Tribolium castaneum: one gene and its partner. The protein of the gene in region 1 interacts with the protein of each later gene in a pairwise test. Links are inferred from orthologs where the notes say so. Each region holds a gene or a part of one and is shown in the gene's direction. Other genes may lie near its edges.

Region 1 (3,417 bases):
AGAAAATTGCGGGATATAAAGGGAGTGAAAAAAAATAAAGTTTGCAACATAGAGAATCTTCTTAAAAATTAAAAAAAATCGTTAAGGTCTCAAGAGGTGTTTGTCCGAACATAATTTTTTTACAGTCGAAGGCCCTAGCGAAGGGCATATTCTTCTGCAAAAATAAAGAAAATTGCGGGATATAAGGAGGGTGAAAAAAATAAAAATTGCGAAATCGGAAAATCTTAAAGAATCTTTAAAAATTCATTAAGGTCCCAAGGGGTCTTTGTCCAAACATGATTTTCTTACAGTCGAAGGCCCTATCGAAGGGCTTAATCTTGTGCAAAAATAAAAAAATTGCAAGATATAAAGTGGGTGAAAAAAAATAAAGTTTGCAAAATAGAGAATCTTTATAAAAATTAAAAAAATCGTTAAGGTCTCAAGAGGTGTTTGTCCGAACATATTTTTTTTTTACAGTCGAAGGCCCTAGCGAAGGGCATATTCTTCTGCAAAAATAAAAAAAATTGCGGGATATAAGGAGGGTGAAAAAAATAAAAATTGCGAAATCGGGAAATCTTAAAGAATCTTTAAAAATTCATTAAGGTCCCAAGGGGTCTTTGTCCAAACATGATTTTCTTACAGTCGAAGGCCCTATCGAAGGGCTTAATCTTGTGCAAAAATAAAAAAATTGCAAGATATAAAGTGGGTGAAAAAAAATAAAGTTTGCAAAATAGAGAATCTTTATAAAAATTTAAAAAAATCGTTAAGGTCCCAAGAGGTGTTTGTCCAAACATGATTTTTTACAGTGGAAAACCCTATCAAAGGGCTTAATTTCTTGCAAAAATAAAGAAAATTGCGGGATATAAAGGGGGTGGAAAAAAAATTAAGTTTGCGAAATCTGGTAATCTTAAAGAATCTTTAAAAATTCATTAAGGTCTCAAGGGGTGTTTGTCCGAACATGATTTTTTTACAGTCGAAGGTCCTATCGAATGGCTTAATCTCCTTCAACAATAAAAAAAATTGCGGAATATAAAGAGATTGAAAAAAATAAAGTTTGTGAAATCGGGAAATTTTAAAGAATCTTTAAAAATTCATTAAGGTCCCAAGGGGTCTTTGTCCAAACATGATTTTCTTACAGTCGAAGGCCCTATCGAAGGGCTTAATCTCTTTCAAAAATAAAGAAAATTGCGGGATATAAAGGGGGTGAAAAAAAAATTATGTTTGCGAAATCGGGAAATCTTAAAGAATCTTTAAAAATTCATTAAGGTATCAAGGGGTGTTTGTCCGAACATGATTTTTTTACAGTCAAAGGCCCTAGCGAAGGGCTTAATCTCCTGCAAAAAAAATTACGATTATTTTGATAATTTTCCTAGTGTGAACTTGGCTATAGAAAACGAGAATCGCGCGCAGCGATTGTCTGGTCGACTGTAATTTTCATGGTGCCAGCACCATCGACATCCAGTTTGTGACGTCTTGCCACTTGACATCAATTTCCTTGAATTTGCGAATTGTTGTTAGGGTTTAATTTTAATAAAATGAGCGAAAAACGGGTGGTCATATTCAGGAACGGGACGAACACGAATGGAGAAGTGGGCCTGAGGGATTCCCAGGTGGTGTTAACACTTAAAAGTAATTTTTCCAGGTTTTTGCACTTCCGCAAACCTTGGAAGAGTTAGTGAGCCAGGCGTATTTAAGGTTTAACTCGAAAGTCCGTCGCTTGTTTATCGAAGACGGGACCGAAGTCACCGAAATTTCCTTTGTGCGCAATAACGACAATCTGTACGTTTCAAGTGGCGAGGAGTTCATTCCTCCCCCGAAAAATGCCACCAAAAGAGTAAAATGCTCAGACTGGGTTACGCTGAATGTTGGTGGGAAGTACTTCACAACGTCTAAAAGCACTCTAACGACCAAAGAGCCCGACAGCATGTTGGCGCGAATGTTCGCGGGCGATGAGGACGGTTATTTGTTCACTCCCAGCAATATCGACAAAAACGGGGCTTTTCTCATCGATCGGAGCCCCTTATACTTCGAACCCATAATCAACTACTTAAGAAACGGTCAATTAATCTATGATAGTAACATAAACCCTGAGGGGATCCTCGAAGAGGCGCGCTTTTTCGGGATTGAGTCAATAATCCCCACCTTGGAGCAGATAATCGCCCAGCAGAGTGTGAACAGAGACAATTTACCGCTAACCCGACGTGATGTGATCGACGCCTTAATCCGAAGTGCCTACACGACCGAGCTGCGCTTCCAAGGAGTCAATTTATCAGGCGCTGATTTGAGCAAACTGGACCTGCGTTACATCAACTTCAAGTACGCCAACCTGCAAGGCTGCAAGCTGACCGGCTCCAACCTGAGCTACTGCTGCCTGGAGAGGGCCGACCTGTCCTACGCCAACCTGGACGGGGCCCAGCTCCTGGGCGTGAAGTGCCTGTGCGCCAACCTGGAGGGCGTCAGCATGAAGAACTCGAATTTCAAGGACCCGGCCGGGGGCAGGGCCAACATGGAGGGCGTCAACCTGAAGGGGGCCAACCTGGAGGGCAGCGACATGGGCGGGGTCAACCTGAGGGTGGCCACCTTGAAGAACGCCAATTTGCAGAACTGCGACCTGCGAGCCGCCGTCTTGGCCGGGGCGGACTTGGAGGTAACGTGAGAAGGGCTATTTTGTGAAATAATTGGGGCTGTTACAGTTTTGCGACTTGTCGGGTAGCGATTTGCATGAAGCTAACTTGAGGGGGGCGAATTTAAAGGACGCCGCGTTTGAACTCATGCTGACTCCGCTGCACATGTCGCAGACGATTCGTTAAAGTGGTTGTGATCGATTTTGTATAAATTTACCATTAAACTAGCCTAGGTTGTGTATTGCGATGTAATTTTTATTATGTATTATGTTTTACGTCATTTTTAAAGAATTATTAAAGTTATGGACATGAAAGTCGGTATTTGGGCTTTTGTTGAAAATTAAGGAACACGAGTTTCAGGTCAAATGAGGATTAAAAGTTAAATGAAAATTCGTAATTTTGAAAAATCATCCACGCATGGCATTGTAAGTTGCGTCATTTACCGCAAATTGAGAAAACTACAAGGTTTACAAATTTTGCACAATTTTGAGTCTGTAACTTTAAAATGGTTTCCAGAAATTTGTAGATTACTGTAATTTTCTGTTTTACAGAAACAGTTTTACAGTTTTCACACGCATAGACGGCACGGTAAAGTTTAAGGACCGGTTTACAGAAACGTCATTAATTTAGTTCGCAATTAATTGCGTGATTAACTGATCACGTGACCAAATTGTAGCAATTTGATTGGTCTCTTCGAGTAGCTAACTTTTAACAGAGCAATCAACTTAAATTGAGCTTTCTATAAAACGGCCCTAGAGGTTCCTATTTTAGTAATTATCTAATATTATTAGATTAATACCAGTAATTTAATAAT
Region 2 (4,196 bases), on another chromosome or scaffold:
AATGCTTAAAATGGCACTTTTGGACTGCTTTAATTTTGGTAATTTACGATTTGAAGCCCTAAACCACAAAAATTGTGACTGGACTGGAACCACTTGACTGTCTTCCAGATAAGAACTGCGCTCAAGAACATTGGTTACGTCCTTTTCGGATGCAAATTCCACCACAATGAAATTCTAAAACGGCCCAAAATACAAAAAAATCATAGACGTTTAGGCATTTACCAGTGGTTCAACCCCAACTGTGTAGTGCAACATTTGCCTAACATTCCCCACAGAATTGCAATACGAGTGGAGTTCTTTAAAGGACTGAGCCGATTGGACTTGCACTAAAATACTGCGTCTGGCCTCCTCTCGCCGAAATTTTATAACGTCCATAAAGGGCACAAACGACTCATTTTGCTTCACTGAAAGCCCACATCAAAAAACCAGTGACATAACTTAAACTTTACCTTGTTGAGACAATTGGCGTACAATATCACTACTGAAATTGAAGAATTTCTTTCGCCCAATTGAATTTTTCAAACGGCAAGTCAAAAAAACCGACATTTTTGAGGGGGCTGCCGCGGAAGTGGCCAAAGTCACGTCACTCCATGTGTTGGATTTGTGAGGTTAGCTAGGAACATGTGTGACAAGACGCCCAAAAAAACAAACAATTCTACAATTTGTGGCTTTTCGCCGGTTACTCGTACGTATAATTTGTTATTTGGTGAGAATCACGCTTCGTTTTAGTGCATGAGAGTCCAGCCCAGGTGTCACCCCAGAAAAATTTGACGGGACTTCCCCGAATCGTGCGGGATTTGGTGGCCGATGTTTACAACAATATCCAGAAGTGGAATGATTTACATATCAAGGGGTGCACCGTTGTTAAGGAAATTGCGTCTTTGAAGGCCGATAATCCCAAAGATTTGTCCCCAAATTTGGAACAATTAACCAATGATTTGTACGGATTAGTACAGTCTTTGAGGCATTACAAGGAGGCGTTAATTCTGTTCTCCAATCAAATGAGGGCTACGGAAAAGTTGCAACAAAATGGCAGTCCGTTATTTATTTCACTCAATTTAAAATCTTTGGCCAATTTGGTCGAAAGTGTTATAAAAGCGTACGGGGAAGAATTTGAGGTGAGTTAGATCATTAAAGATTCAGCCAGTTAAAGCAAAATTGTTTTCAATGCCTTTAAATTCCAGGTGAAAGAATTCGTTTTGGAAAACATCGCACATGCGAAGAACTCGGACGAAGCAATGTTTCTAGCCGCCTTATGGACCTATCAGTACAAAATAAGCGATTCAATTAATTCAAAATTGGAAGTTTTGCTTGTGGAAACAGGCCATCGAAAATTTACCTGATTCAAAAATGTGACCATAGACACCAGTCAGTGCGCGTGCTTTGGTGCCCCTGTTTTTGACCTCCAAGGTCGTACTTGTCAAATATGTGATGAAATAGTGCAGTGCGGCATTTTTTCCAATATCAACAATCAACAAAAAGATTTTGGGTGAAGGTGATCAAGTCTAGAGGAACTGCTGGACGTTTTTCCCCCCTTTTTTAAAGCAACCAACTCAAAGACATGGCGTCTGATTCTAAAACCCAAATTATACAACGACCCAATTCGGAAAACAACAAGAAAAACCCAATTAATCTATTCCCCAAGCAGGCCGAGTGTTCGCACGTGTCCTGCTACTGGTGAGTGTCTAAAACTCAAAATTTTGATGTTTTTGGTTTTGAGGTTAGGTTCGTTGTTTTGATATTTAATAGTGCCGCAGCGTTGCTATTCTTATTGCAAGGTGCTTTACGTAAGATTTATTTTTATTGTCTTGGTGGTTCGGTGCGCGATTTCGAAAAATTCGTTTAAAATTGTACCACAGGAAGAAATCTGTTTGCGTGACCTACGCATATCAATTATTTTTTGTTCCCTCTAGAGCGTGTGTGTGATTAAATTGGGGCTAAGTACATATAGAAAAAATTAACAAAATCGGGCACTCCTTCGTTATTTTGCTAATTAGCCGAAGAAGTGATTGAAATACAACATACAACCTTGTGCGTTTGCGTCAGTTCGTAAAAAACACATTGTTTTACATTTATTTATTTAAGTTATGCAAAAAGGATCGATTTTGTGCTATAAATTATAATCTAATTGTCGCTTTATGGTGCTTGGACATGCCACGCTTTTTCAATATTTTATTATGAATTGTGATTCTGCAAGTTTCTTCAATCAGAGTTTATTTGGTGTTTTCCGGTTTTTGCATAATTAATGCCTGAAATTTTCACCACATGCACATTCATGCGCACACCTTTGTATTGTTGTTGTTATTCACACAGCTTTGGCAACCCTCCATAAAGCATGGAAAAAGTAGCCACTTTTTTAGTCAAATGGTATTTTGCTCGCGATTTTGTGAATATCATTTGATGGTTTTTGTTGCAGTGAAGAGAACGTTTACAAGTTGTGTCAAGACGTGTCGACGAGACACTCGACTGAATTAAATAAATGTTTCGTAGTTTTTGTCTCAAATCCAAGTCGGACCGTTCCTTTGTGGAGACAACGGGCGGGGAAAGACGAGGATAGATTAGTTATTTGGGTTTGTGTTTAACATCCAGTCAAAACGTGTGGAAATCACGTTTTTTGCAGGACTATCATGTGATTTTTTTGTATCATCCTGAGCCGGAAAAATGCTTGGTTTACGATTTAGATTCCGAATTACCGTTTCCCACATACGTTCACAAATACGTGACGGAAACGTTTCGCACGGACCACATTTTGAAACCGGATTATTTTAGATATTTTAGAGTGATTCCAGCGGCGGAATTTCTGAGGGATTTTTCGTCGGATAGAAGGCATATGAAGAGGCCAGATGGCACGTGGATTAAGCCACCGCCTAATTACCCCGCCATTCAGACAGCTGGTAAGTAATCGAATTTTTAGGTCCAAAAATGCCTAATAAAATATAGGTGGAAACTCTATAAAATGTTTTTTTTGCTGCGCTTGTGCATTGTCAACAAAACGAATATCTAAAGCTTAGGAATAAAACGTTCCCGTCTGTGATAGTTCCGTTAATGTCGCCCAAGAGCGCAGTTTCATTACCGTCGAAAATTATTTCAAAAAATGGTTGTATTAATATAACGGTTAGCACAAGGTGAAGAAAAAAATACAGACAGATAGAGCGTTAAATTCTCAATAGTAAGACATAAACATAATGCAAAAATGTTAATTTAAACTATATTTAAAAAAATTTCAAAGTTTTACCAATTTGTACACTGTCCGATATTTTTCAAAACGTTGCGAATACGGTTACAGATACCGATTTAAAACTATTAAAAAAAAAAGAAATGTTTTTTTCAGCAACTGCTCACAATCTGGAGGACTACATCCAAATGGACTTGAGCAAGGGCCCCGGTCAGGTCCTGAATTTGACCCAATTCGTGCAACGCTTTTATAAGCCTGCAACATAGTTATTCTAAGACGAAAGAGTGAACAAACTAAGTCAATTTTGATTTGTGCTCTTAACTATAATAAGAGAGCATAATCTAATAAATGTCTGTCATCGAAAATCTTTTCTCTGTCTTGGTATATATTTCTCTCAAACTTTTACTCTATATCCTCTTGAATGTTGATTGGGATTTTGATGTCTTGTTACGGATTTTTAAGCGATTGAAGTACTGATTTTTTAGCTTGATGTGCTCATTTTAATCTTGCCATCCACATGTTTCTTATGCTTACATTTCACTTAAAATGTGATATTTTTCTTTAGGAAAGACGATGTTGAGGGGGAGTTTTCATTACGTAGTTTAATGTTACATGTCCACAAATTTATATAAGATTTACCAAACTTTTATAATCCATGTGATGTACATTGTGTCATGTTCCAATTCTAAAATCTTGGTGTTGATAAGATTCGTTTAATCTGTCGGTTTTTAGCGTATCTTTAAGGCCGTACAGTTTTCAATTCAAATTTTTACTAAGACTGCACATTTGCCTTCCAATATACACAAACGTGAAATTTATTACGCCATTTGCAAGTACAATCAGTTTTTTGTGGAATGTTTTACTACTTTTCTTGTTTTTATGATAAGTATATTAAAGTACAAATTATTTAAGAATTCTTTTGCTTAGAACAAAGGCCTAAATAAGTGTTACTTGTACGTAGCTTAGTCAGTTTTGTAACTCTCGTCTTATTGTTAAATTCAATAAAGCACTTGAAAACTCA

The links.
Region 2: the proteins of BTB/POZ domain-containing protein KCTD9 (region 1) and tun interact in binary tests that used the Homo sapiens proteins (3 or more experiments, as listed by UniProt). The link is inferred for Tribolium castaneum from reciprocal best matches to the Homo sapiens genes KCTD9 and NTAQ1.

The regions. Positions count from the first base shown.
Region 1 is NC_087395.1:16,846,912-16,850,328, forward strand, and holds BTB/POZ domain-containing protein KCTD9, read left to right. Parts: upstream 1-1,412; 5' UTR 1,413-1,514; coding exon 1,515-1,568; intron 1,569-1,621; coding exon 1,622-2,626; intron 2,627-2,672; coding exon 2,673-2,789; 3' UTR 2,790-2,917; downstream 2,918-3,417. UniProt on the Homo sapiens protein: Substrate-specific adapter of a BCR (BTB-CUL3-RBX1) E3 ubiquitin-protein ligase complex, which mediates the ubiquitination of target proteins, leading to their degradation by the proteasome.
Region 2 is NC_087396.1:24,512,212-24,516,407, forward strand, and holds the start of tun (protein N-terminal glutamine amidohydrolase), read left to right. Parts: upstream 1-1,396; 5' UTR 1,397-1,561; coding exon 1,562-1,677; intron 1,678-1,683; exon of another isoform or gene 1,684-2,335; coding exon of another isoform or gene 2,336-2,367; intron 2,368-2,416; coding exon 2,417-2,570; intron 2,571-2,620; coding exon 2,621-2,894; intron 2,895-3,316; coding exon 3,317-3,441; 3' UTR 3,442-4,196. Other genes in the region: MTPAP (poly(A) RNA polymerase, mitochondrial), read right to left, coding at 1-174, 223-404, 450-546; uncharacterized protein LOC663387, read left to right, coding at 622-685, 730-1,118, 1,185-1,343. UniProt on the Homo sapiens protein: Mediates the side-chain deamidation of N-terminal glutamine residues to glutamate, an important step in N-end rule pathway of protein degradation.